Linked DNA regions of Xenopus tropicalis. The main gene of each other region encodes a partner of the protein of the gene in region 5 in a complex. Links are inferred from orthologs where the notes say so. Each region holds a gene or a part of one and is shown on either strand. Other genes may lie near its edges. The genes, in order: snrpd3, lsm2, sf3b5, lsm6, snrnp40, bcas2 and rbm48.

Region 1 (4,196 bases), on a different chromosome or scaffold from region 5:
CATACATACATTCATGGTAGAATGGGGGGTGAATCTACATTTTACAGCAGTGAGCAGGGGTACATTTTTGTGCACAGATGCCATTTTGTCCATTTTACTTAATGTTGCATGTGCTTTCTGGCAGTTCAGAAACAATGCATTCAGCAGATATATAAACAAAATAAGCCTGATCATTCTGGGCCCATACATATGCCAGCGGTCTGCCAATTCAGTTAATAAAGTCAGAATCAGCACCTATTAAAAGCGCAGACTAAAAGAAACAGTCTGATCAGGTGCGGACTGGAAATGGGGCCTTGGCATTTAATTATACGCGGATACCCAAATAGCCCCCTATCACCCCAATAAATAGTGTCTGTGACATCTTACAGCAGCCCTTCTGGCATTTATCACAATCCACAGATTGCACGTCTGAGTCTAATTGGAGGTTTCAGCTCAAGATATTTAATAATAATTCATAATATATAATATGAAAAGTTGCAGTGCAACTAGCCGCTCTTAAATGGTGTGAATAGATAAATGGGTTGATGAGCGGAACTAAGTCACTCATATCTGTTTCCCACCGGAAGTTGTTTGCTTGTGCAGTCGCCGGGAAAAGGGGGCAGAGAGATACGACAGCCTGTTTCCTTTCGCTGTGCATTGTGGGGCAGGCGGGACGCCATTAGAACGCAGAACAGAGCCACGCTAGTAAGTATTACCCAAAGCAAACAAAAGTTCGGTAAAAAGTCTGCGCTTTGCAGGATTGTCAGAGAGGCCCGGGGGTTGCAGCGTGCGGATATCTGGGCGGGGTGTGCGTCTCGGTTACTCGGCGCTTGTTCGCTTTCCCTTAGGTCTGTGCGGTTGGCAGCTTTGTATGAGTGTGAGCAGGGCTTCCCTCTAAATATTGCCTTATGGTGAGGTTATATACAGGGTGCCGGGCCCAACGCATCTCACTGTGTTACCAGTCCGTTATCCGTTTCTATAAATATTCCTGCCTTAGGCCGGGGGCACTGAAACGTTTGTGTAGGCCTCAGTGCCAGTATCCCAGGGAACTCATTCATTGAGGGTTACTCCTCTGCTTCTGCGGGTTGTGCTGCTGCGATGTCCTAACGTGCATGTGTTTCTGAAGGGCTGGGCATGTTTGTGTGCATATGTATGGCTGAATTTATAGACTGTAAGTGATTAAAGCTTTAGGCTGGATAAACATTATGTAATAAGGATTTTTATTTGAATATACCTTATAGTTTGCACATGGCTGCATTGTATGCAGTAACCTGCGTTGCGCTTTGTATGTTCTCCACGTTTTTTTGCTAATTTTTATTTCTCCAATTGCAGGTTAATCTCCATTAGCTCTCAATATGTCTATCGGTGTACCAATTAAAGTCCTTCATGAGGCAGAAGGCCACATTGTGACATGTGAAACTAACACCGGAGAGGTATACAGGGGGAAATTGATTGAAGCAGAGGATAACATGAACTGCCAAGTAAGTAAAATAAGCAAGTCATTCGTATTATATCTATAGCAAGTGCACCTAAACTTATAAATATTTACCTTATGCCATGTTTGTAAGTACGTTGGTGATTGCAGTATAAACTCTAGTGATAGACCTTATGGACCAACAATTGTAAAGGCTGTGTTAAACTAAAAATGTGTGTGTGAATTGTTAGGGGCAAAGTATTTTCCAAAAGGCACCTATTTATTCCCTATATAGTGCCTCGGTTACCCTATCCATTGCAAAAGAAGCAGTTATATTGTGGTCAGAAGCGTAAATAGCTTAAAGGAGACATGGAAAAATAGGGGAAAAAAAAACCTAATTTTGTAGACAATTATGAACAATATATGCTGCGGGTTTCATTTGGGCTAAAAAATACTCATCTGTAAATATGGCCTCTTTATTGGAGCTCCCTGTAGATCCTATCAGTTCTCTGTCCCTGTTTAAAATGAAGGGTGGGCGTGTCCTAACGGTCCCTGCCAGAAGCACAGTAGGAGGGGGGAAGGCAATCACAGCCCAGCACTCACACAAGCAGAGACAGGCTTCAGTTCCCTATCAGGTCATCCTAGCTGCTGATTGGTTCCTATCCAGCCAGCAGGAAGTGGAACAGATGGGCGGGACTATTAGGGTTTTGGTGGAATTTCTCAATAAAACAGTCCAAAAAACAATTTTTTTTAAACCACAGTCCTTCTATATCTAGAGGAGTATAATTTACTGGTACATTCTTAATTTTTATACAATGTCTCCTTTAATCCTAATCTATTTCAATTTCCTAGCTGTGTCTCTAGATGTCAGTATATTCACAGTAAAGCTCAGTGATAAGGAGCAGAAGTAAAATATGTAAATGCTGTTGTTGCTATGCACTTTTAAACTGTTAGTTACAGGAGCCTAGTTAGTGGGGTGTGGCTACACCCGTATTGCATTCCTGTTGTGTAATTTAAAAAATATTTAGGGTGACAATTTCCTTTTGCTCTTTTTACTAAGCACTCTTCTGTTGTTCATGTATAAACTTCTCTTTTAACATGGAGAAAAGTCTCCTTTATCTACCCACAGAAGCCAAACGGTAACATATTTTGGTGTTCCTATTCTTTTAAACTATGTAAGTGTTTCAAAGTAATCAAAATACGATGTAGTGTTACCCTGCACTGGTAGAACTGGTGTTTGCTTCAGTAACACACAGCAGCTTGGATGGCTGCCCCCACTGATACTACTATAGTTCATATAAATAAGCTGCTGTGTATCAGTGGGGGCAGCCATCCAAGCTGGGATAAACTGAGTAAGGGCTCTGGCACACGGGGGAGATTAGTCGCCCGCGATTAACTCCCTGTTCGCGGGCGACTAATCTCCCCGAGTTGCCTACCCCTGCCATCCCACCGGCGAACATGTAAGTCGCCGGCGGGATGGCAGACGCGGCGGGGCGATTTCCGGAAATCACCGAAAAAGACTTGCGAGTCTTTTTCGGCGATTTGCGCGAAATCGCGCCGCCACGTCTGCCATCCCGCCGGCGACTTACATGTTCGCCGGTGGGATGGCAGGGGTAGGCAACTCGGGGAGATTAGTCGCCCGCGAACAGGGAGTTAATCGCGGGCGACTAATCTCCCCCGTGTGCCAGAGCCCTAAAGGTGCTGGTTACATAAGCTGTATTGTATTTTACAGAGCTTATCTTTTTGTCACCTGTGCCATTCAGCCCTCTTTGTTTGAATAGCTGCCCCCATGCAGCTTTATTTCTATAGACCAGGGTTTCCCAACCTTTTGTACCTGTGAGCCACATTTAAATGTAAAAAGAGTTTGGGAGCAAATGAAGCATAAAAAATTCTTTTGGGTTGCCAAATAAGGGCTGTTATTGGCTATTTGGTAGCCCTTATGGGGACTGGAAGCCTACAGGATTGTGCTGGCAATACAGCTGGTTTTTATGCAACAGAAACTTGCCTCCTTACCAGAAATTACAAAAAATAAGCACCTGCTTAAAGTCCACTGGGAGCCACTGGTTGGGCATTACTGGTATAGACTATAGCAGTGTTTCTAAAGCATTTTAACGCAGCTGTATATTACCTTGTACAATAAATAGGTTGTTTTTGGCTATTTTAATTAAAAGGGTCCTCCAGCCAAAAACTGTTTTTGTAATGAAAAAATTTAATTCTACGCAACTTGGATATACATTAAAGGAAATTTAAAACTGCAAAGACTGGTCTTCTAAACATTCTTCTACTGTGTATGAATGTTCTTGGTGCTGTCTCCCAGGAAAAGAACATGGTTTTGGCTATTCTTTGAGCTAAACAAGGGGGAGACATGAGTGTGAAGTCAAACACGATCCCGTTAAAGCTTTATAAATATAAAACATTGTAATAGAATTCCTCACATAGTGCTGTATGTTAAGCCTGTGTCCTTTTTTCTTCCCTCCATGGATGCTTAAATTGTACTTTGACTTTCAGATGTCAAACATCACTGTAACGTACAGGGATGGCAGAGTGGCACAACTAGAACAGGTCTACATCAGAGGCAGCAAAATTCGTTTTCTCATCCTCCCAGACATGTTGAAAAATGCTCCCATGTTAAAGAGTATGAAGAATAAAAACCAGGGTTCTGGTGCCGGCAGAGGAAAAGCAGCTATTCTCAAGGCCCAAGGTAAGTTTTATTTGTGTAGGGGCAGGGTTAACAGGGTGATGTCTGTAAAATTCCATGATCATCATTAAAAGCCCTCCGTTCCCTTGGTTTAAGTTACTAATT
Region 2 (4,131 bases), on a different chromosome or scaffold from region 5:
TGATAAATGGGGAAAACCCTAATTTTGTAGGCAATTATGAATAATATACGGTGCTGGTTTCCCTTTGGGCTAAACATTAATCCTATTTGTAAAAATGGCCCCTTTATTGGAGCTCCCTATAGATCCTCTCTCTTCTCTGACCATGTTTGAAATGAAGAGTGGGCGTGTCCTAACGGTCCCTGCAAGAAGCACAGTAGGAGGGGGAGAGCCAATCACAGACCTGCACTCACACAAGCAAAGACAGGCTTCAGTTCCCTATCAGGTCAGCCTAGCTGCTGATTGGTTCCTATCCTACAGTGCAGTGTATAGAGGGCCGCTGGCTCCCCAGCTCATCCAGAGAATTCAGCCAGCAGGAAGTGGAGCAGATGGGGGGGACTAGTGGGGTTTTGGGGGAATTTCTCAATAAATCTGTCTGAAATACAACTTTTTTAAGCACATTCCTTCTATATCTAGAGGAGTATAATTCACTGGCACATTCATAATTTTTATAGGATATGTCTCCTTTAACAGTAACTAGCCCAGGTATGGACAGCGTAACTCCTTTTAGCTATCTCGTAACCCTCATGCCTTGTACCTGGAGTTGGTAATTATTGGTCCTTAACATTACAATTGATGTTTGTTGTGCAAGAACTGATAGTTTGTGTTTGTGGGTCAGAATGCAGTTCCAGCCTCTGTAGTTACACCTGGAATCCAAAGTTGTTTAATAAACTGGTACAAGGGACATTTTCTCTGAGCAGAAGCTCAAAAAGGGCAGGAGGTGGGCAAGTGACAAACCAAAGGTTAGGGATTAAAAAAATACAAAAAAGGGATCCAAAGAACAAGGAGAGATAAATCTGATTCTTGTCTGACTGTCGCTAGTTTGGCCCTAGGTTAGAATTCTGCTGGCAGAAGAAACAATAAAATAAAAAAACATTTTAAGGTTGGACATTACAGATCTAATGTGGAGTGCCTAACCTTAATATAGTTCATTTTTATTCTACTGTTTCATAAACTAATCTATACTTTGTTACACTTAGTACCTGCTCCCAGTTTATAAAACCTGTATTTTTTTTAACGTATTTTAGTTGTTCAGGGATAAAATACGTTTAGGGGACTTCTCAAGAAAGTTACATGAAAAAAATGTTTTCTGTCCTCGCGAGATCATGATTGCGTCATCACCGTGGGACCCATTCATTCGGCCGGTGCCTGAAGCCGGCGCGCAAATTCCTGCTGCTTTAAATTCTCGCGAGATTTATGCAGAGGCGCTAGAGCGGTGAATGAGCGGAAGGCATTTGGTGTGTAGATCTGTCGTTGTCAGCGGCGTCTGTTTTGTTCTTCAGTTTCCAGATAGAGCTTGGGTGGTGCGACTGCAACAGAAGCAATGGTAACCGCTTAAGAACACTAGCGTTCCGTTACTGTTTCACGTTTTGTAGGGTAGAACCTAAGGAGTCGATAGCCATGTATTTTGTGGTGTACCAGCGTATACAGACCTGTTTGGCAATCAGTCCCCCCCCCCTATAGTCGCAAGGTCAGCTTTCTGAGTGGCCATGCCCTGCTTTGACGTTCCATGTTTTGCCTATACCAGGATTCTGGGATTTGTAGTCTTATAGCAGTGGGAGGGCTCGAATTTGGCCATCCCTGCTTTGCAACAACATTTCAATCATTTGTAACCTGATGTTAGTTGGACAGAACAACTTGTCTGTCTCTGTTATTGTTTGTGTCTTATGAGAGAACATGCTTTGCCTTGATCTGTAAAGGATCTTGGCAACATTTGTTATGTGATGTGCCTTGGGTAAGCTACAGGAGAGGCAACTGGTTTTTATAACTACTTGTTTTTATCATGTACAGCTATTCTACTCCTTCTTCAAGTCTCTTGTAGGAAAGGATGTGGTGGTAGAGCTGAAGAATGATCTGAGGTGAGTGTTTTGCCCCATGTTCTTTCTAGAATTGCTTCCCCCCCCCCCCCCCCACATGCTATACAGTCAGGCAAAAAGCTGCCACTGGTACATTTCAAGAACCTAATTTCTGTACTTTAAGGGATGTGACACACGGGGACATTAGTCGCCGCGCAACAAATCTTTCTTGTTGCGTGTCGACTAATCTCCCTGTGTGTCACAGCCCTTAAACCTAGTGCAGTGTGTGCAGTTGTGCTTTCTGCACTTGTGATGTGCCCAACACAAAAGAGGTAAGCACGGTGGGTGCAGCAGCACTTAGAGTCCCCCTGACCATTGTCAAACTTTAGAGGGCAGAGTGTATTGTGTAGACAGAATTTATAAAAACATTTTCTTGTGCTCCTGTAGACTTCACACCCTTAAATAACCACTTCTTTACCATTTAGCCATCTTTCATCCATTTAGCCTTTTGTTGCACTATTACATAAATGGTCTTATCTCTTGCAGTATCTGTGGTACTCTACACTCAGTTGATCAGGTAAGTAACTGAGCAAATATATAAATGTAGTTTATTTTCTCAGCATAATTATCAGCTCAGCCATGTTGTCACTTAAGCCTTGCAACTGAAATTGGCATAAAATCTTTCAGTGCCAGGGAAAAATGTTGGGTTGGCAAAAAAAAAATGAAAAAGTGAAAATTTTCTTTTAAATGACTTTACCATTACTGAAATTTCCACAACGCTAGGTTAAATTAAACCCTAGCAATCAGATAGCGCCTACAATTCCAAAATGGAGAGCTGCAATAAAAAAAGCTAAATTTAATTAAAGACTGCGATAATGAAGACTAGTTGCAAATTGTCTCCAATTATCACTGTCCACATCATACTAAAAGTTCATTCAAAGGTGAACAACCCCTGAAGGGACAGAGCCTTTAATAAAATGTACGCATCCTGCAGAGTATAATGTCAAACCAGGGAATATTTATTAACATAATTACTACAAGATTCTCCAAAGAGAATATTGCTCATATTTTTTTTTTTTTATACCCTAGAGGGCTTGTTTGCATAGAGGAATATCTCTGCTCTACCTGTTATCGTAGTACCTTTTCAGGTGTCTGGTGCTAAACAGTCTGTAGACCCACCTGCCCAGGGTCAAAGATGCTGTAGCACACTGATCCGTTATTGTGGTTGCATTAAGTTGCACCGACTCTTGCAATGTTTTGGGTCACTCTCAGACTGGCTGAAATGTTCCCAGTAGATGTCTGCTAATTAAGCCAATAAATCACTTTATTTAATGTGTGATCAGTGTGCTACATCATCTTTTGCATTCTGCATAGAGGAATATGTCTTGGAATAGAACTTTTGGGGGGAACTTGTGTTTTTCATTATCTCAAACAAGATTTCACTTTTTTTTTTTTTTATAGTATTTGAACATTAAGCTGACTGATATCAGTGTAACAGACCCAGAAAAATATCCACACATGGTAAGCTTTTTTTTTTTTCTTTGTATTTTTTATCTGCACCAGTAAACTAGATACTTAGCTTTTAATCCTGCTTTGAAACACTTGTTAATGTAATTATTTAAAAAATTTTTTTTTTAGTTGTCTGTAAAGAATTGTTTCATTCGGGGATCTGTGGTCCGCTATGTACAGCTCCCTGCTGATGAAGTAGACACTCAGCTTCTCCAGGACGCTGCACGGAAAGAAGCTGTACAGCAAAAGCAGTGATGTACAAGAGCTAGAAGGATGGAAGCAGGTTCACAAGCAGCACTAGGTGTTGTCAACTGCCTATATTTCTATAAGGCCAAATATAGGAGTGAGCAGCAACTTGTTACCTGTTATACAGGTTTTGCATTACATTTCTGTAAGAGACCCACACTTTTTTTTCTCATCCTAGTTCTGGAAACTTTTTTAAGTGCAGTGACTTGTGTGTTCACTTTAGAATCCAAGCAATGCATTTTGCTCTGCAAAGAAGTGGTCTCAGATAAGCAGAGTTAATTGGGAAAGACTGCCCTAACTTTTTTTTTTTTTTACTTAAATAAATTTTGTGTTAAGTCATCAGCTCATGTTTTTTTTTTTTTTTAGTGAAGCTAGTTCCTTCTGTTTGTATCTGCCTTTCTTAATTTTGTCGTAATATGATTTTTACTGGTTTAATTTTTTTTTAATATGCGTATGGTAAATTTAACCCATACCCTGAATTTGAAAAATCAGAAATTTTCCACATTGAAGAACAGAAATTTATAACATTCTGTTGTCCAGAGCT
Region 3 (2,558 bases), on a different chromosome or scaffold from region 5:
CAGAAAAGGCGCAACTTTAATTTCTGCAAATTTTAGCAGAACTCTTTACTGTTGAGCTATTTTCCTCAGATTTTAAGGTAATTTTTTTTCTCCTTTTCCTTTCCTTTTTCTTTTTTTTATTTTATTACTTTATTTAGTTTGTTAACAATATTGCTTGCCTACTTTCCACTTGTGCAATTTAAAGGACATGTAAACCATACATTTTCCTACCATATATATATAAGTTGGGCACCCAAACAACTCCATTTGTACTGCATATATCCCCTGTGTTTGTCAGCACCATTACATATCCCTAAAGCAAATAGTGTCTTTTACCTGGCAGCCATTTTCCTTCTGACATCATCAGTGACATTTACATCTGCAAACAGCTCATGTGCACTACAAAGTTCATGCAATGAAGAATGCTGCCTTACGCAGGCACAACTTACTTTGATCAAACGCACAAATTTCCCCCATGTGTAACAGACCTAAAATGATTCAACAAGCTTGAATTACTTTAAAGCACATTTATTACCTACTTCAGTTCTAACTTTTTCTTTCAAGCAAAAATAATTTTTCTTTAATAGATCTTTGCTTGTTACAAGAGGAATATACTGATAGGTCAATTTAACCCTTCGGTGTTTAACCCTGTGAAAAGCCTCTCCAAGTTATTATGTGCCAGAAATGCCCTTATACTGCCAAAGTTTACATGTCTAAAATGGGTAGTGTCTTAGTTGCTCCCTTAGGGCTCTAACATCACTTTAATGTATGCATTTACAAACACATGCTGAATGCAAAAAATTAAAAACTGTGCGCACAAAATATTTTTTGTGTACATAACTGAGAAGAAATTAGAGGGGACATTGAACCCTTGCCTTTATATAACTTTAATAAATCGCAAGACTGTGTGCTAAAATCACGGATATTATCACTTTAAAGGTAAAGGTTGGAAGGCGAGTAATCTATATGCCGCTGGGTATTGTTTCATGTGTTAACATGTTGCGGAGGTTACTATTCAAAAAATGGTTTATTCCTATAGAATTGACCCAACTGCAACCACTTTATATTTTTCCATACAGCTTTCCGCCTGTTCTCTCCCTGTGTCCCACAACTGAGCATGCAGGGAGTTTCGATTTCGCTTGAAATAGGCGGGCCAATCGCTGAAGCGAAAATGAGCAAAACACTACAAAATTACGAAACTTTATTTATTTTAGTCGGCGTCGATATATTGGTCACTCCCGGAAGCAACGTAACTTCCGGCTGCTGTAACACGCTGACTTCTTTTGTCCTCCGGAAGCCAAAGGCGCTACCGCTGCATATCATAACACCAAGTCGTGTACAGTGAGCTTGCTGTTAGCGCTTGCCATCGCCATGACAGACCGATATACTATTCACAGCCAACTGGAGCATCTGCAGTCCAAGTATATCGGCACGGGCCATGCGGATACTACTAAGTGGGAGTGGCTGGTGAACCAGCACAGAGACTCTTACTGCTCCTACATGGGCCACTTTGATCTGCTCAATTACTTTGCCGTGGCTGAGAACGAAAGTAAAGCACGGGTACGTTTTAACCTGATGGAGAAGATGCTGCAGCCGTGTGGGCCCCCAGCTGATAAGCCCGACGACTCTTAAGCGTGGCGATGGTTTCTTCTCTGAGGCTGCCTGTTATGGAGTTCTTGGAGTCGATCAAACTTATCGCCGTTCGTCTTAAAGTTTCCGGGACTTAAGCAAGAGATTCCCGCCTAATCAACAGGCGTGTATCATAAAGCAGGACTGTGCTAATTCTAAATGGAGTTTCTGAATTCCAGGAGTCCGTGATAAAGTACTTTGAGGACGTTTGTGCATTTGCCTGAAGTCTCTTCGAAATCCTTGTACGACTAATCTAGGCTTTTCTTTCAACTGCTTATCACTTGTAATAAAACAATCAACTCTTGTTGAATCCTTGTACAACATACCCTTGTTAGTTTTTTAATTGTTCACTGTGGTTCACTTATTAGATTAATAAGTATGTAAAATGTTATTGTCAGGGTGCTATGTTTGGTGTTCTTGAAGAGAATCTAGCTGCCCATCCCCCCCCCCACCCAAAAAAAAAAAAAAAACTGGAAAAGGTAAACGTAGTCAGGGTGCTTTTAGTAGCCAGCAACCCTAGGGTCAGTTGCAATTAGGCTTCATAATTGTTTTTTTTTATATAGCTTTTTGTTGAGTTGCTTTCAGTTTTCATATTCTTACATCTATCTGGTTGCTATTATTTACCCTAGGCAGTGGTTTGAACTGGAATATGAATAGGAGAAAGCCTGCATAGACAGGGGAAAAAAAACCAACCATTGCCACACAGATCAATGGTTTTTGTCTGGCAGTGTTAGTGACCCCATTTTAAAGACGGAAAGAGGCAGAAGAGAAAAGCATGTAATTTAAAAAAAAAAAAAATATGAAAATCAATTGCAAAGTTGCTGGGAATAGGGCATTTAATACCATACTAAAAGTTAATTTAATGGTAAACCACCACTTAAATACCCTACATTTAAAACTGTGACTGGAAGACACTGCATTTGGGGATTAATATCAATATCTCTGGAACT
Region 4 (4,214 bases), on a different chromosome or scaffold from region 5:
GCTTATTCTTTGCTTATTTGGCTAGCTATTAAATTAATTAATTCATTTATTTGCATATCATATTAGTTATTTTCATTTTTGTACATTTTAATTCCTTCCGAGGAATCTTAAACAGTTACGCTCACAGAGCGTCTCCTCATCCCCTATGTTTGCATGGGTGGGTTCATGGCAGTTGCAGGGCAGATTCAAGTTCTGGATGTGAAAGCTAGTTACCCAGCAATTACCAAATGAATGAAAACAAAAAAAAAAAAATATTGTATAATTGTTTATAGTTATAAGCAGAGAAGACCTAAACAGCAATAAAGACAGGTATAAAGTGACAATTTAGAGGAGTGAGTGAGCTTCCCCCACACCATGCTTATAAACAATTTGCAGGATTTCCAATTTGGTGTCAGTCACTGGCCTCTTGGTGACTGCACATATATTTCTTAAGGTGCCCACACACCTTCAGATCCGCTCGCTTGGTGATGTCGCCAAGCGAGCAGATCTTCTCCCAATATCCCCCACCTACGTGTGGGCGATATGGGGAGAATCCAGGCTAATTCCCTGGGGCCAAACGATCGCATTATAAAGACGGGTATAGGTGAAGTCGTTCCAGGGACCGCATCAACGAGCTGATACGGTCCCCGATCCAACTAGATTTTTTAACCTGCCCGATCGATATCTGGCCCAATTTCAGGCCAGATATTGGTCGGGCAGGCCCATCGGTAGTGCCCATACACGGGCTGATTAGCTGCTAGAATTGGCCCGTGTACAGGGACCATTAGGTGCCATGACATTCACCACTTTAATAAGGATATTTGCAAATACATGGTGTACAGCAGGTAATGAATCAGTAAAGATTTCAGATGAATAATACCAGGCTCCAATTGAATAATGTCATGCCACACACAGCTTATCAGTATTAGTAATCATTTTTGATGCTAGTGACATTTTGTGTGGCTGATTAAAGTAAACTGACCCTTCAATCAGAAAGGATTATATGGGAAGTTTCAGAAAATCAAAGTAGCTTACCATAAGTAAAGTGCATGTGCCTGTATAAAATAGATACAAAAATAAATATATGTAAAATAAAAATACGTATACATTTGCGTCAACTCAAAGAAATGTATTACGTTTAGCAAGTAAGAGTAATGCTGAATCAGAACACGTTTTTAAAGTTGGAGGCGAGGTTTCTTTACTAGAATGACTTATAATGGCATGGTGCAGGGATTCAAAGCCATGAAACATACAGGATATCCCAGCCATTACTACATACAAGAGGTGCAGAGGAGCCACAGCGCCGCCTCTCGCCCTGATTGGACGCATCATTTCCCGTGTTAACGTCATCGTCCCCTTTTGACCCCCGGTAGGCGGTGCCTCATTCAGGAACCCGATTTACTTCCGTACGGCGCACACGGCTTTCGCTTGTTTTTGGATTGTCCTGAGACGGACACCGTAAAAAGGGGTAGGAAGGAGAGAGGCGGGAGAAAAGGCATCGCACGGGATACAGGGTGAGAATTACAGGGTGGCTTATGGCCGCCTGTAGTATTTGCATTGATGCACACCATCTAGTATGGTTAGTGCTCATTACGTTCAGAGAAAAGTAGGTAACAACAATAATTAACCTAAATGTGTGGCTCCCGCGGTGTCTATGCGAAGCGAATTCTGGGAGTTGTAGTTCATCCCAGGTGTGTGGCCGCTGCATTACATTGGGATTGTATTATGTATTGTTCAGCTATAATGTTTCGAAGTAGATTTGCTACAGGCACCCTTTTCTTGATACATATTTGTATTGCTCCCGGCAGGTGGGTATTGTAATTCCTGAGCAATATACTGATTACCAGCAGGCTGTACTAGAGGGGCTCAGTGCCAAGTACATGAGAGCTCCTCTCACAGGGGCTGTATAGATCTCCCTGCTACATCAGAGGGATGGAGCTTCTTACTTATAGATTTAGAATCATTTGTAAGTTTAAGCCCAGCTACAGTGTGTCAGTGTTGGGCTCTAGCCCTAATGTATGTAAGCCCTAATATATCTATGTTATCAGTGAGCTTTTCCACTTAATATTTTATTCTGGCAGTAACCAACATGCTTGAGGCTGTCACTGACAGATTTCCTCTGCTCTAATTGGCTGATACCAGCATGAGTCACATTTGTATCAGACTGCTGACAGACACCATGGTGGATATGTTTGTACAGGTATGGGATCCTTTATCCGGAGACCCATTATCCAGAAAGCTCCGAATTACGGAAAGCCCCTCTCCCATAGACTCCATTTTAATCAAATAATTCAGATTTTTTAAATTGATTCCCTTTTTCTCTGTAATAATAAAACAGTACCTTGTATTTGATCCCAACTAAGATATAATTAATCCTTATTGGATACAAAACAATCCTATTGGGTTTAATTAATGTTTTATTGTTTTTTTAAGTAGACTTAAGGTATGAAGATCCACGTTACAGAAAGACCCCTTATCCGGAATACCCTTGGTCGCTAGCATTCTGGATAACTGGTCCTATACCTGTAGTAGGAAACGTTTAGGCTGAGGAAGCACAGTATTTCTTAGAAATGATAAGAGACACTGAATAAAAACCTTTGATAAATACAATAATATATCAGGGAATTTGAGGACTGTGGAGTCGGTACATAAATCCTCGGAACAGTAACACAAAAAATGAAAGCATATAAAAGTAATTAAAATATAATGTACTAGTGCCCTACACTGGTAAACATTGTGTGTTTCCTTCAGAAACCCGAATATAGTTTATATAAACAAAGCTGCTGTGTAACCATGGGGGTAGCTGTACAAATTGAAAATAAGAAGAAAAGACACAGGTTACATAGCAGATAACAGATAAATTGTGTAGATTACCATTGTACCATTCTAAAGCGTGCATCTGTTATGTAACCTGTGCCTTTTCTCCTTTTTTCTAGCTTGAATGGCTGCCCCCATGGCTACACAACAGCTTATTTATATAAACTATATAGTCTTACTGAAGCAAACATGAAACTTTTACCAACACAGAAATACCCAATCTTAACCCGCCTGCTCCCAACCCTACCCGACCCAGCTTCTTCCCTTTATTTATAGACCTACTCCCGACCCTCCCCGCAATGACATCACGAAGGGGTGGGGCATGTCGGGCGCGCACCTATAAATTCCCAAGCTGGAATCGGAATATCAGCATTGTTAGGTCTCGGTCATGGAGGCTGACCGGAAGCACTCAACCCGAAGCCCACCCGCGACCCGCAGGTGATGTGCCAAGGTCGGCCTGACCTGCAGGTATTGGGCCAGCCCGCACATCAATAGTGCCCACTCCTTATTCTGCTGTAGACACTGAGGAATACAGAGCCTCCAGTTAGCTGTGATTTAACCCTGTTTTAACTGCTTTGTCTTCTGATTTTTTAGAACACATCTCTTATAGTGCTTTCCTGGCTTTCCTTTTAAAGGCTAGTTAAGACGAAGATATTTCTAACCAACTGCAGGCGAATGGATTGTCATTGCTGTTGGTTAAATTTGGTGGAATAGTTTAATAGAAAACTAAAGTTTAACATTTCTAGCCTGCTTCTTTTAGAGTTTAGTGTTTGTAGAGTTTATATTCTTTAAAATAGGACTTATACTCCACAATGTTTGCTGTGAATTCTGGACCAAAGCGGCAGTCTATTTGTATACCATATCATAGTGCAGATTTGCCAGTTCTAATGCACTAATCTGTGCTGTTAAATCATCAAACTGACAATAATGACCAACTGCAACTGATATAAAAATGCTGGTCTGAAAATGTGAATAATATATAATATCTGTAAAGCACTGAGGAATATGTTGGCACTATATAACAATAAGAGAATTATTTTGTCTTGAAACCTTTCTTTACAGTGAAAGGGAATTAGAATGAGCCTGCGCAAACAAACACCGAGTGACTTCTTAAAGCAGATTATTGGAAGACCAGTGGTTGTAAAGCTCAACTCTGGAGTCGATTATCGAGGTAAAGCTTAAAGTAAAAGGCAACCTGAATTCCTTTTATATCTATCTTTTATCAACATTTGGAATGAGGATTATGAAAAATGTATTTTTACAAATTCATTCTGGCTCTGTTTCATGTCCATGTTATAATACGTATTTTCCCTCACTTCAAAGTTTGCACATTCCAAAGCAATACATTTTCCCACAGATGCTGCTTAAATTTAAATATGCAAATCAGGGTTACGTTTGGGTCGTATTCTTCCTAAATG
Region 5 (4,281 bases):
CTCCCATTCATGTGAATAAGTTTCCAACCTTCTTAGATGTTAAGACAGGACAAAGAACTCATTCTTCTTGTGTCTCAATGTGTGGCACTCAATCTCTTTAGCTGCTAATATTTTATTTATTGCACTGTAATATAAAAGTATTGTAAAAAAAAAAAAAAAAAAAAAAACAATTGCATATAAAATTAGAGTCACATAAAGATATATATACAAATATGTATATTTCGTAAGTCTCTGAATAATGAGATAAATACGCATAACATAGGGCAGGGACACTTTCATTCTTTTTCACTGCAGGTTCAAACCCATACACTGTGTAACTGGGTCACTGTGACAATAGATTTGTAATACCTTATAGTAATCATGGCTGCTACAACACATAGGGCTAAGGAAGTCACCCGAAGTTTCCTCTTAAGGCAACTTAAGGCGACTTCAGAAAATCGTAGTGACGCATATGCCATCCCACCGGCGATTTACATTCCTGCTGGTGGGATGGCATAGCAGGGAGATTAGTTGCCCGCAGCAACAAAGAATTGCTGCGGGGCGACTAATATACCCGTCTGTCACCTCTCTAAATTTACAAATACGCTTGTAAATGTGGCTCTATGTGCAGAATAACATATGGCCTTAATCCTTAGCCTATTTACTAGCGTATAAGCCAATATCACCAGTGATGTTGCACATAGCAAACAATCAGCAATTAAGAGTTTAGCAGTCACCTAAAAGTTAGAAATCCAAAGCAAAGATCTGATTGGTTGCTAAGGGCCACATCACCACCAATGATGTCGACTTACACACTATAATAGATATGCTCCATATAGAAGAGAAAGTGAAGGCATGTCCAGCCTATGAATCCTTCAGTGTGCGCTAACAGCATGTAAGGCACCTAAAGCCAACAGCCCCTTTTACTGGAGTAGACAAAATTACATGTGATGTGCCTAAAAAAATTGAATCACCTGCAGAGAAATATCAAGCTGCGTTAATAATGGTTTATGTAATAGCCTATTAATCTTCTTCTAACTGACTTGTTATATATTTTACCTTTGATGGGCCGCCATTTCGCTGTCTCCTCCCCGGCCGATCACATTTAACCAATTACAACAACTTCTACGTCATTTTCTCTTTCTCCTGTATCAGCCCAGTTGCTTAAACATCCTTATACGCGCAACCCCGCCCATCGTACGTCATTACTAATGGACAAAATCGGCGCAAGCTCTGTTCCGCCCCTTAAAGGCTTTCAAGGTCACATGATTGTCTTAGAGCCAATCACCACTATAATCTTTATCAGGTAGTGACTGCGCAGGATAATTGCGTGAGCATCCTGCGCTGCTGAGTGGGAACGCAAGCGAGTCTTACAGTGTGGCTGGGTTTGTGAGTGTTAGACAAGCTGGAAGGAGTTCTTGGAAACATGATCGAGCAAAACAAGCGGAAGGGAATGGAGTTGGTGCCGGTACAGGCAAAAAAACCGAGGAACGAGTTGGTGGTTTCGGTAAGAATGAAGAATTTGAATGAAATGGTTGGCTTGGATAAGTGTAACCATTCATTCCTTGGGCATATTTGACTTGGACTTTAGGTAAAATTATAGACATAATCTAAATCGTACCATTATTTCCTTTATTAAAAGATTTAGACGGTATAAGAATAAGCTAAAAAGTGTAATCATAAGGCTCTAACGTCTGAACATAGGTAGGGGTATAATTACTTATAGTATTGACTCGTCTTGTGCACCCCACACAGCCATTAAGGACCTTGTGATTACACTTTGCTACGCTAATGGGTTGTGGTTTTTCGTTTATGGGACTTTCTAGTTGTTTTAATGAAGGTAATCAAGTTAAAGTTTTCTTTTTTAAAAAAAAAACTTTATTTCCAAAAGTTATAAATAGTAAATAAAAAGCTAGTATTTTTACTGCTATGGGACTTTCTCTTAACCCATTTTCATGCCTTTTTTCTGAAAGGGGTAGTTCAGTTTTAAAATGTCCTTTAGTATAGTGTAGACAGCATGACCTTAGTCTGTATATCTGTTTCTCATGTTTTAGTTTGATTATTTCTTCTGCGCCTCTAAGGTTTGTTTGTTTAGACCTCAATTCTCCTAGCAACCAAGAAGTAGATTGGAACTCAAAATGGCAAATAATTAGGGAAGGATCTCAATAGACTGATAAACAATAGGCAATATAACAATAATACTAAAACTGAATTTTAAGGGGAGAAAATATGCCAAAGAGTAGTTAAAAGAATACTGACGTGGAACGTGTCAGTATTACTGACAATGCAGCACTTGGTTGGGCTTCCCCCAGCCCAAACACACTTACCCCATCCCAACACTACTACACGCAGAATGTTACTTTAACGAGTTGTCTGTCAGTCACACTGGCCTCCATGCAATCCTTCCAACGGCTGGAGTACAGTTTACATTTGTATTCCTGCCTATAGAATGATGGCACCACCCACAGCCCGCATGTCTGCAGGGAGCATCTCTTTATCCAGACTGCTGGCTTAAAGGAACAGTAACATCAAAAAATTAAAGTGTTTTAAAGTAATTAAAATATAATGTGCTGTTGCTCTGCAAAAAACTGGTGTTTTTGCTACAGAAAAGCTACTATATAAATAAGCTGCTGTGTAACCATGGGGGCAGCCTTTCAAGCTTGAAAAAAGGAGAAAAGGCACAGGTTATGTAGCAGATAACTAGTAGATCAGCCCCATATAATGGGGGTTTATCTGTTATCTGCTAAGTAACCTGTGCCTTTTCTCCTTTGAATGGTTGCCCCCATGGCTACACAGCAACTTACTTATATAAACTATAGTAGTCTTTCTGAGGGAAACACACCAGTTGTAGCAATGCAGGGCAACAGTACATTATATTGTAATTACTTTTATACACTTTCATTTTTTGGTGTTACTGTTCCTTTAACTCTGCCTGTGGTAAGTGTGACTGGGCTGGAGGAGATTTGGGGTAAATCTTCAATAAAAGCAGTAGTGTTGTGCTGCATTATGGGTAATACTGACAAGTTCCTTACTGTTATAGGAATGTGTCAGTGCCCCTTTAAAATAGAATAGAAATGGTAATTTATAGAATACTAAAAATTTAAGGTGAATAAAATATTTCTTTAGGTAATAAATGGAACTGAATCTACTTTGATGTTTAATTCTCTGAACTTGTTGACTGCAGGGTCCCCCAAGATCATCCAGTCTTCAGGCTCCCATCATGCTGCTTTCTGGTCATGAAGGAGAAGTTTATTGCTGCAAATTTCATCCCAATGGTGTAACTTTGTCTTCTGCAGGATTTGACAGACTTATCTGTAAGCAACTTTCACTTGTTTTATACGCTTTGTATTTTGCAGCTGTTTGACTTAGTAGCAGATGTTGTTTTTCATCTGTAGAATCACACAATTAATTGGCCATCTATACGTTACTAATTAAGGATTAATCTGCACCTCCTGTAATTTTGTTATGCTTTTTAGCTCCTTTTTAGCACATTATCACACTATACAAGCTGTAACATTAATTATGAATGTTACAACTGATCAGATTAAGAAAGTTATGCAGGTATGTGTTATTTTATTTTTTCTTTTCTTGTAATATTTAATCAAATTAAATAAGCTACCATGTTTTGGCAGGTTTGCCCAGCAGGTAACTTATTCTATTAAACAAAGCAAGTAAATTTAGCAGCACACATGAACTTCTTTGTAGGTATTTAACTGATTTGCAAGAAAACTGACACCGTCTGAATCTGGAATTTACAAGGAATATGAAACCATTTAAACTTTAGTTTTATGCTGCATTGTACATTAATAACAATTAGAATTTGAATCCAAAAATGAAGCTATGTATTTTACCCTTAAATTGTGAAGTTATTGAGTGAGTTTATTTTGACTTGCCTTGTAGTGCTATGGAATGTATATGGCGACTGTGACAATTATGCAACTTTGAAAGGACATAGTGGAGCAGTGATGGAGCTTCATTACAATACAGACGGGAGGTAGGTAATTGTCTGGTCTGGGGCTTATGTAGTCATTTTTGTTTTACGGGTACTGAAAACTATCCTGTGTATTACACATTGGTGGTACTAAATTATGCATACTAATTTCTGTAAAATTGCAAAGACCAGGATGCCAGACACTGTAATATCTTTGGTTTATGCCTGATTTTCCTTAAATGTGTCAGTGCTGTTCTAAATAGGATTTTAGTTAATATAGCTATCCTTGCAATACTTGCCATTAATAGTGATTTTCAAGCCTTTTCCACTACTTTATTCTATAGCAAGTGGAGAAAGTTTAAGAAATACAA
Region 6 (3,995 bases), on a different chromosome or scaffold from region 5:
ATGTACAGCATTTCTGCCCTACTTCTTTAGTTTCCATGCTATTTGCAGTATTCACACCAAGTCAGAGCCAGACAGATAGGGGAAAAGTTTCATTTGCTGATGCTGGAAGTGTCTCTGGGCTCAGTGCTGCTTGTGTCTCCGCCTGCACAGAACAGCAGGGGGCGCTCCTGTTACACCTTCATGATATTAACATTGTAAAAACAGATGAGACCCAGGAGGAAGGGCAATGCCAGGCTTTCCCACTGTATCTCTATGGCCTATAGAAGACAGTTCATTGGTTTTTACGCTGATTTCCTCTCACTGTTACACACATGACCCGTTATCTGTCGAAGCTGCCCATGTGGGAAATCCGTCCCAGCTCAGAACATACCTATTTCCCTCTGGTGAGATCAGGCACTTGTGCAGAGACGGGGGTGCTATCTAATATATAATGGTGTGCCCCCACCCAGGCCAGGGTTACGGTTGTGTGGGGTGCTCAGTACAGACCCCCAGGAGCGCACAGGATGATAAAAGTGGAAGATTTCTGGAAAACACTTTATTATTAATATTACAGTGAAAAACAAGTCAGAATTTCCTTATAAAAGCCGGTATGTGCCCGGCCTACGAGGCAGCACTGGGGCATTTGGGTGAAACAGGGAGACCCATCCCTGCGCCTATCAGCACCCAGGCAGAGACTACTCGCTACATTTCCAGAGTGAAGAGCCATAAAGCAACCAGAACCCCCAGCAGCGCTGCCCAACATGGCGCCAGAGTCTCTGCAGCAGGACCGGTGCTGTTACCCTGGAACCTGTAATCCTTGGGGCAGGGCCTTAATAATCTTCAATATTTTCCTTATTCTCCCCGCTCCTCTCTTTCAGCTGATAGACTTCATTCTCCATTTGCACAATTGCTCTCTCAATCTCGTAGTTTTTGCTCACAAGAGACACCCACCTGCAACCGGCACAGAAAGCAAGTTAGAGACAGACGAAAATGACTACCAGTTCTATTAAAGCTAAAATATTAGCATCCCATAAATACCATACACTGTACTAAGCACAATTCAGCAGGAACAGCCCCCTAAGTTTGCTCATAGCCTGTACAGAGAGATACCATAAAACTATGGCACATAGGGATTCCCCTGTACTAAGCACAATTCAGCAGGAACAGCCCCCTAAGTTTGCTAATAGCCTGTACAGAGAGATACCATAAAACTATGGCACATAGGGATTCCCCTGTACTAAGCACAATTCAGCAGGAACAGCCCCCTAAGTTTGCTCATAGCCTGTACAGAGAGATACCATAAAACTATGGCAGCATAGGGATTCCCCTGTTCAGCAGGAACAGCCCGCTAGGCACACTCAAAGCCTGTGTGTACTTCATTCATGGAAATACAGTATAGGGGAGTAGGTATTCCCTTGATAAGTTCACCCTAGGTGTGAACAAAATGCACAAATCTCACTTACGTTGACTCCATCTCTCTGAGTCGGGCACCTGCTGTCAGCTGGGAGTTCTTTCTCTGCCAGTTCAAGTCCTGAATCTTTTTCCTGTTCCGGTAACAAGACAAATAGTGAAAGCGTTAGAGCTGTTAAAATGGAAGTGTGCAACTGCTAGTAATACCCCAGGGCTAGGAACTACCCCACGTAGGTAACTCGAAGCTCATCCCAGTAATTACACAGGAACTGAGCTCTAAATCTCTGCACTTCCTGCTTCTGGGCTGCTCTCTTCCCCACGGCCAGGGAAGGATTATATATATATATATATATATATATATATATATATATGGTTAGTATGGGCTTAATGCCGTCTCACCGTAACTTCTGGAGATCTTTCTGCGCGCAGTCGATCATATGCAGCAGGTTCCTGGGAGGAGACAGAAGAATCACGTGACTGAAGGGCGGCAGTATCATTGGGTCATGCTATATCCTGTGCTGTAAATCAACACCCCCCCCCCCCCCCCCCCCCAACGCCATGTTCCCAACTCACTCGTTATAGACTTTCCAGGCGTTACAGCCGTGCTGGGACATGAGCTCCAGGTTCTCTATACGGACGGCCTGGTGTTCCAATTGGGCCATGGAGTTATTGACACATTCCTGCCACGCGGTGATGTCGTTCCTCTGGCCGGATAGGGGGGCCGGTAACTCATACCTAGAATCAGAGAGAGGGGTATGGTATTTCCACGGATACCCTTCAGCACAATGAGACCACATGGAAACCACAGGGCTGTAAAGCAATGCACAGATCTTGGTCCAGTAACCCATAGTAACCAGACGGCACTCACCTCTTCATGCTGAGCAGTTCGAGGGGCTGGCGCGACGAAAGTCTTTCAAACTCGTTCCTCATGATTTCAGTCTAAATAAAATGAATGAAAGTTGGAATCTTGGTCTCCTCTGTGAAGGGAACATGCCCCCCACCCACGTGATATTAGCACCAGTAGGTGCCAGGGTGGGCTCTGTGCATGCAAACCCCTCGGGGTTATGGGACTATGAAAGCAATCTTTGGAGAACTGACAGACATAAGGACGAGTAGTAGCAGAATGAATAATGAAGTATTAATATTTTGCAGAGATATCAAGTTGCTAGGGTCAAATTTACCCTAGCAACCAGACAGTGGTGTGAATGAGTATAGGGGAGGGGCTGGATAAAAAGTAACAGTAACAATAAAATTGAAGCCTCACAGAGCAATAGGTTCTTAGTTGCCAGGGTGAGTTCTCTAGCAGGGAAGCCATTTGGTTGGCCAATGTGCAACCACCGTGAATAGAGCAGAGGGGCACCCAGTGTAGGGTGCTGCAGAATAGGGAGAAAGCCATTACCTCAAATGCGGAATAGTCGGGGGTGGGCAAGTAACTCAGGTAGTTCTTTGTAGGCCGATATCTTCTGGTCTCCTCTTCCACCAAAGCTGCAGCCTGAGAGCAACACAGACCGGTTATTTACAGTAGAAATGCCCCCAATGGGAGTCATGTGACACACAGGGGCAGCACAGACCGGGTATTTACAGTAGAAATGCCCCCAATGGGAGTCATGTGACACACAGGGGCAACACAGACCGGGTATTTACAGTAGAAATGCCCCCAATGGGAGTCATGTGACACACAGGGGCAGCACTGACCGGGTATTTACAGTAGAAATGCCCCCAATGGGAGTCATGTGACACACAGGGGCAGCACTGACCGGTTATTTACAGTAGAAATGCCCCCAATGGGAGTCATGTGACACACAGGGGCAGCACAGACCGGGTATTTACAGTAGAAATGCCCCCAATGGGAGTCATGTGACACACAGGGGCAGCACTGACCGGGTATTTACAGTAGAAATGCCCCCAATGGGAGTCATGTGACACACAGGGGCCGCACTGACCGGTTATTTACAGTAGAAATGCCCCCAATGGGAGTCATGTGACACACAGGGGCAACACAGACCGGTTATTTACAGTAGAAATGCCCCCAATGGGAGTCATGTGACACACAGGGGCAGCATTGACCGGGTATTTACAGTAGAAATGCCCCCAATGGGAGTCATGTGACACACAGGGGCAGCACTGACCGGGTATTTACAGTAGAAATGCCCCCAATGGGAGTCATGTGACACACAGGGGCAGCACAGACCGGTTATTTACAGTAGAAATGCCCCCAATGGGAGTCATGTGACACACAGGGGCAGCACAGACCGGGTATTTACAGTAGAAATGCCCCCAATGGGAGTCATGTGACACACAGGGGCAACACAGACCGGGTATTTACAGTAGAAATGCCCCCAATGGGAGTCATGTGACACACAGGGGCAGCACAGACCGGTTATTTACAGTAGAAATGCCCCCAATGGGAGTCATGTGACACACAGGGGCAGCACAGACCGGGTATTTACAGTAGAAATGCCCCCAATGGGAGTCATGTGACACACAGGGGCAGCACTGACCGGTTATTTACAGTAGAAATGCCCCCAATGGATGTCATGTGACACACAGGGGCCGCACAGACCGGGTATTTACAGTAGAAATGCCCCCAATGGGAGTCATGTGAC
Region 7 (4,196 bases), on a different chromosome or scaffold from region 5:
GCTATTATCCCACTGCTACTATAGGCACCATCTCTCCCTACTATACCTGCTATGCCACAGCCACAGTCCCTTCCCAGAGGCTATTATCCCCCCACTGCTACTATAGGCACCATCTCTCCCTACTATACCTGCTATCCCACAGCCACAGTCCCTTCCCAGAGGCTATTATCCCACTGCTACTATAGGCACCATCTCTCCCTACTATACCTGCTATCCCACAGCCACAGTCCCTTCCCAGAGGCTATTATCCCACTGCTACTATAGGCACCATCTCTCCCTACTATACCTGCTATCCCATAGCCACAGTCCCTTCCCAGAGGCTATTATCCCCCCACTGCTACTATAGGCACCATCTCTCCCTACTATACCTGCTATCCCACAGCCCCAGTCCCTTCCCAGAGGCTATTATCCCCCACTGCTACTATAGGCACCATCTCTCCCTACTATACCTGCTATCCCACAGCCACAGTCCCTTCCCAGAGGCTATTATCCCACTGCTACTATAGGCACCATCTCTCCCTACTATACCTGCTATCCCACAGCCACAGTCCCTTCCCAGAGGCTATTATCCCACTGCTACTATAGGCACCATCTCTCCCTACTATACCTGCTATCCCATAGCCACAGTCCCTTCCCAGAGGCTATTATCCCCCCACTGCTACTATAGGCACCATCTCTCCCTACTATACCTGCTATCCCACAGCCCCAGTCCCTTCCCAGAGGCTATTATCCCCCCACTGCTACTATAGGCACCATCTCTCCCTACTATACCTGCTATCCCACAGCCCCAGTCCCTTCCCAGAGGCTATTATCCCAGTTGATATTATTAATCCTTTTCTGACACCTACACAAATACACCTCATGTCATGTTACTAAACTCCCTCCTGCTTTCCATGTAGAATCACCTGAGAATCCCAAAGCCCTGGTTAGTGCCCGGACAGGGCCATTACAGGCATCATATTAAAATAAACAAGTGCTGCCCATCACGGACAGACGGGCCCCGGTTAGAGTTACCTGCTCCAGGCGTAATTGTGCGAGCACCTCAGGTGTCACACGCAAAAATGTGTCCTTAGCACTTGTGAGTTTCAGGGACACAGCAGCCCCGGGCGGTCCCGGACCTAGCATCCTACTGTGGCGTACCCACAGCAACCCCCTTCACTCCAGCGCTGTGTATGACGAACGTGCAAGTAACAGAACTTCCATCGCTAACGTTATCAGCTCCTTCATGCCTACTGGGTAACTTCCGCGCTGTTTCACCTTTGACAATCGAGGAAATCCCACTCACCCTGTGTCTGCTGACGTATAGTACCTCCCGCCCAATCAGAGAATGGCGTGCTCTAATGACGCCTGTGTGCGGGGCAGTCCTTCCGCCTATTGGTTCTGCTGCCTTTCCGCCTATTGGTTCTGTGTCCCGGCCTGTGTTTGGTACAGGGAGAGAGGGAACTATTTCTTAGACAGCAGAAGCCGATGGCAGAAAGCGCAGCAGTGCAAGTGCAGGCCTACGCACACCATGAGCAGCGAAAGATATGCGCCTCACGGGCCAAGTACCGCGAAGGACGGAGGCCCAGAGCAGTCAAAGTGCGTGAAACATTTACAGTTTTTGTTTTGGTTTTTATACGTCCACACAACTAGTATTCCAGCGTATTCTTGCGGTGGGACTGAGCGCCAGTGCCGCTCTAGCAGGTTTCCCTTCGTAGAAATTGCTCCCTAGAGTTATCACTGAGTTACAGCTTCCATAAGAATGTTAGCTCTTCTATATTCATGTGGTTTTAATTGGGCACTGTGTGGGAACTGGTAATGATTTCTGTTTCTACATAGGAGCATATTGTTCCACTGAAGGAAAAAATGCTGCCTTTTTATCTGCACCCACTGATAGGGGAATAGTGTGGGAGAGGGATTAGAGTTCTAGTTCACCATTTGGAGGCAGTAGGTTTCATTATAAACTATGGGCTATTTCCCATGATTGTAATTATAGATGTCACAGACCCAGTGGCTGCAACTGATAAGGCTAAATATATGTTTATGAATAAAAAGATAATTTTGTGGTTGGGCCCAGTGGTCTCTAGTTACACCAGCAGTCATGTATACTGCAAGCCAGTGGGGTACCACAACAATTTCAATTTAGGGCCCAAAAAATATTTGTATGTTAACCTATTCTACCAAGATACATTGACATTTCTCATCAATTAGGGTCTTATTGGGCCACTTCCATTCCTGGGCCACTTCCATTCCTGGGCCACTTCCATTCCTGGGCCCCCTTCCAACTGCAGGGTCTGCCCTAGCACACACTCCAGTTTCCCTTTCCTTGCCCTGTAACATTACATCATTTCACTCTGCACACATTCTCATACAACCAGCACACTTAACATGTCTGCATATAAAAAAAACACACACAAACTGATACTATTTTCTTTTAATTTCATAAAGAAGAGTATAATGCACTCAGTTACTGGGTTCACGTTAAACTGAGGGGTATATTTAAAAAAAAAAAAAAAGTTTAAATTTGACGCTTACCAAGATTGACTTGTAAGGGTCTGTTTTAAGCTTTCCATATCATGTGACAAATGTAAGATGCTGATGTGCATTTAAATTTTAAATGTTTGAGAAATAAAAAAAATTATATTTTGACCAAAAACTGAAAATGTGCCTCATCTCAGTTTTGTGCCTGTAGCCCTCGGCTATTGCACCCAGTCAGATTTATTCATATAATGCCAGAGATTCTCAGCTGGATTGAGGTCAGGCCTGTGACAGAGCCATTTGATCACTGGGATCACTGTTCTACTGAAAGATTAATGTTTATTTTTTAGCAGCCTGGAACAGGCTTTTTTTTGGTGATATTTCACTGTATTTTGCCCCATGCCTTGAAAACAATATTCCCAGTTGCTGCGTTAATTATATAACACACAAATCTGTGGTACTAATGAAGAATCAGGCTTTTGCGCAGAGAAATCTTTAGTTTAGGACTTTAAAAACTGTTGATTCCTTGCTGAATACTTGGACAGATAACCATTTGCTTTATACAGTATGGCAAACATGGCATATACAAACAGTTGTATCACTCTGGCTTGATTAAGCCATTTTACAGATGATGCAAATAGAAAAACTTTAACGTATGTTCAAGCCAAAGAAAAGTATCCAGTGCTTTCTAGCAAGTTACTGGCTTTCCTTCAAAAGCGATACCAGTAAAATTATATAGCCATCCTCCCGCCAAGAGAGCTATATCACTGGGCTTTAAACTATTATATAAGCAGAAATGAGTTGCTGGAAAGCTGCACACCATAAGAGCAAGTTAATACCTGGGTGCCAGTGCTGAAAGCGTAGATACACAGGGTTGGAATGACAGCACACGCAGGATGTTTTTCAAGAAGAATCACAGAGGTTTAGATAAATAAATGTGAGGCTTTATTCAGTCCGACGTTTCAGTTCCTATCTGGAACTTTCATCAGGGACAGTAACATCACAGTGCAGTACAAACCTTTTTAAGCACAAAAGGGCCCTAAACCTCTGTGATTCTTCTTGAAAAACATCCTGCGTGTGCTGTCATTCCAACCCTGTCTATTATATAAGCAGATAGTCTATACTTCTTCCACCAAGGGACACAACAAATGGCTTCTGAAATTTTCTCAATTACAAATGTCTCAAGGCCTTACAGTATGCAAATAAATGTCTTCCAATGGGATCATATAAAGAAATGCATCTAAAATTCTTTTTATTGAGCCTACTACTCGCCAAAAGTCAGTCCCAAATAGGACTCTCTGGAGGCAGATTTATTTAATTGTTTCTGGACATGTCCTCATAGTAAAAAGTTTTGGGTATCAATAACTTGTTATGCCATTGATAACTTGCTAGACTATGTTCCTATGTTACCAAAATGGATTATGTTCCTATGTTACCAAAATTGACAATGTTTGGTATCCCTACCAAATACTAGACTTATTGGGGGAGTAGAAAAGTACTGTTTATCATATCTGCAGCTGCTCGTAAATATATGCTACAAGTGTGGATAGAGAAACAACCCCGTCACTGTCTTTTTTTAAAAGTAAATTTTATATATTCACCTATTATTTCACCTGTTTCACATGGATTGGCTAGAAGTCTCCCTCCAAAAAGAAAAACACACGAGATGAAGAAAGAAACAAATGGCAATCAGTTTTAAAATGTTTTAAGAACAATTATTTTAAAACAAGGTTACTGAT

The links.
Region 1: snrnp40 (region 5) and snrpd3 share a complex: the UniProt entries of both Homo sapiens proteins name them as parts of the U4/U6-U5 tri-snRNP complex. The link is inferred for Xenopus tropicalis from reciprocal best matches to the Homo sapiens genes SNRNP40 and SNRPD3.
Region 2: snrnp40 (region 5) and lsm2 share a complex: the UniProt entries of both Homo sapiens proteins name them as parts of the U4/U6-U5 tri-snRNP complex. The link is inferred for Xenopus tropicalis from reciprocal best matches to the Homo sapiens genes SNRNP40 and LSM2.
Region 3: snrnp40 (region 5) and sf3b5 share a complex: the UniProt entries of both Homo sapiens proteins name them as parts of the minor spliceosome. The link is inferred for Xenopus tropicalis from reciprocal best matches to the Homo sapiens genes SNRNP40 and SF3B5.
Region 4: snrnp40 (region 5) and lsm6 share a complex: the UniProt entries of both Homo sapiens proteins name them as parts of the U4/U6-U5 tri-snRNP complex. The link is inferred for Xenopus tropicalis from reciprocal best matches to the Homo sapiens genes SNRNP40 and LSM6.
Region 6: snrnp40 (region 5) and bcas2 share a complex: the UniProt entries of both Homo sapiens proteins name them as parts of the postcatalytic spliceosome P complex. The link is inferred for Xenopus tropicalis from reciprocal best matches to the Homo sapiens genes SNRNP40 and BCAS2.
Region 7: snrnp40 (region 5) and rbm48 share a complex: the UniProt entries of both Homo sapiens proteins name them as parts of the minor spliceosome. The link is inferred for Xenopus tropicalis from reciprocal best matches to the Homo sapiens genes SNRNP40 and RBM48.

What each region holds. Positions count from the first base shown.
Region 1 is NC_030677.2:152,605,343-152,609,538, forward strand, and holds the start of snrpd3 (small nuclear ribonucleoprotein Sm D3), read left to right. Parts: upstream 1-1,311; 5' UTR 1,312-1,334; coding exon 1,335-1,460; intron 1,461-3,901; coding exon 3,902-4,094; intron 4,095-4,196. UniProt on the Homo sapiens protein: Plays a role in pre-mRNA splicing as a core component of the spliceosomal U1, U2, U4 and U5 small nuclear ribonucleoproteins (snRNPs), the building blocks of the spliceosome.
Region 2 is NC_030684.2:75,102,986-75,107,116, reverse strand, and holds lsm2 (U6 snRNA-associated Sm-like protein LSm2), read left to right. Parts: upstream 1-1,222; 5' UTR 1,223-1,360; coding exon 1,361-1,363; intron 1,364-1,827; coding exon 1,828-1,895; intron 1,896-2,378; coding exon 2,379-2,409; intron 2,410-3,293; coding exon 3,294-3,353; intron 3,354-3,470; coding exon 3,471-3,596; 3' UTR 3,597-3,929; downstream 3,930-4,131. UniProt on the Homo sapiens protein: Plays a role in pre-mRNA splicing as component of the U4/U6-U5 tri-snRNP complex that is involved in spliceosome assembly, and as component of the precatalytic spliceosome (spliceosome B complex).
Region 3 is NC_030681.2:58,017,370-58,019,927, forward strand, and holds sf3b5 (splicing factor 3B subunit 5), read left to right. Parts: upstream 1-1,348; 5' UTR 1,349-1,350; coding exon 1,351-1,611; 3' UTR 1,612-1,926; downstream 1,927-2,558. UniProt on the Homo sapiens protein: Component of the 17S U2 SnRNP complex of the spliceosome, a large ribonucleoprotein complex that removes introns from transcribed pre-mRNAs.
Region 4 is NC_030677.2:58,334,617-58,338,830, reverse strand, and holds the start of lsm6 (U6 snRNA-associated Sm-like protein LSm6), read left to right. Parts: upstream 1-1,406; 5' UTR 1,407-1,493; exon of another isoform or gene 1,494-1,670; intron 1,671-3,077; exon of another isoform or gene 3,078-3,264; intron 3,265-3,858; 5' UTR 3,859-3,873; coding exon 3,874-3,967; intron 3,968-4,214. UniProt on the Homo sapiens protein: Plays a role in pre-mRNA splicing as component of the U4/U6-U5 tri-snRNP complex that is involved in spliceosome assembly, and as component of the precatalytic spliceosome (spliceosome B complex).
Region 5 is NC_030678.2:79,149,942-79,154,222, forward strand, and holds the start of snrnp40 (U5 small nuclear ribonucleoprotein 40 kDa protein), read left to right. Parts: upstream 1-1,333; 5' UTR 1,334-1,405; coding exon 1,406-1,486; intron 1,487-3,163; coding exon 3,164-3,293; intron 3,294-3,879; coding exon 3,880-3,973; intron 3,974-4,281. UniProt on the Homo sapiens protein: Required for pre-mRNA splicing as component of the activated spliceosome. Component of the U5 small nuclear ribonucleoprotein (snRNP) complex and the U4/U6-U5 tri-snRNP complex, building blocks of the spliceosome.
Region 6 is NC_030682.2:7,012,403-7,016,397, reverse strand, and holds the end of bcas2 (pre-mRNA-splicing factor SPF27), read right to left. Parts: intron 2,882-3,995; coding exon 2,789-2,881; intron 2,329-2,788; coding exon 2,258-2,328; intron 2,125-2,257; coding exon 1,963-2,124; intron 1,840-1,962; coding exon 1,789-1,839; intron 1,524-1,788; coding exon 1,443-1,523; intron 931-1,442; coding exon 810-930; 3' UTR 521-809; downstream 1-520. UniProt on the Homo sapiens protein: Required for pre-mRNA splicing as component of the activated spliceosome. Component of the PRP19-CDC5L complex that forms an integral part of the spliceosome and is required for activating pre-mRNA splicing.
Region 7 is NC_030682.2:31,762,901-31,767,096, reverse strand, and holds the start of rbm48 (RNA-binding protein 48), read left to right. Parts: upstream 1-1,352; 5' UTR 1,353-1,467; coding exon 1,468-1,578; intron 1,579-4,196. Other genes in the region: pex1 (peroxisome biogenesis factor 1), read right to left, coding at 1,015-1,125. UniProt on the Homo sapiens protein: As a component of the minor spliceosome, involved in the splicing of U12-type introns in pre-mRNAs.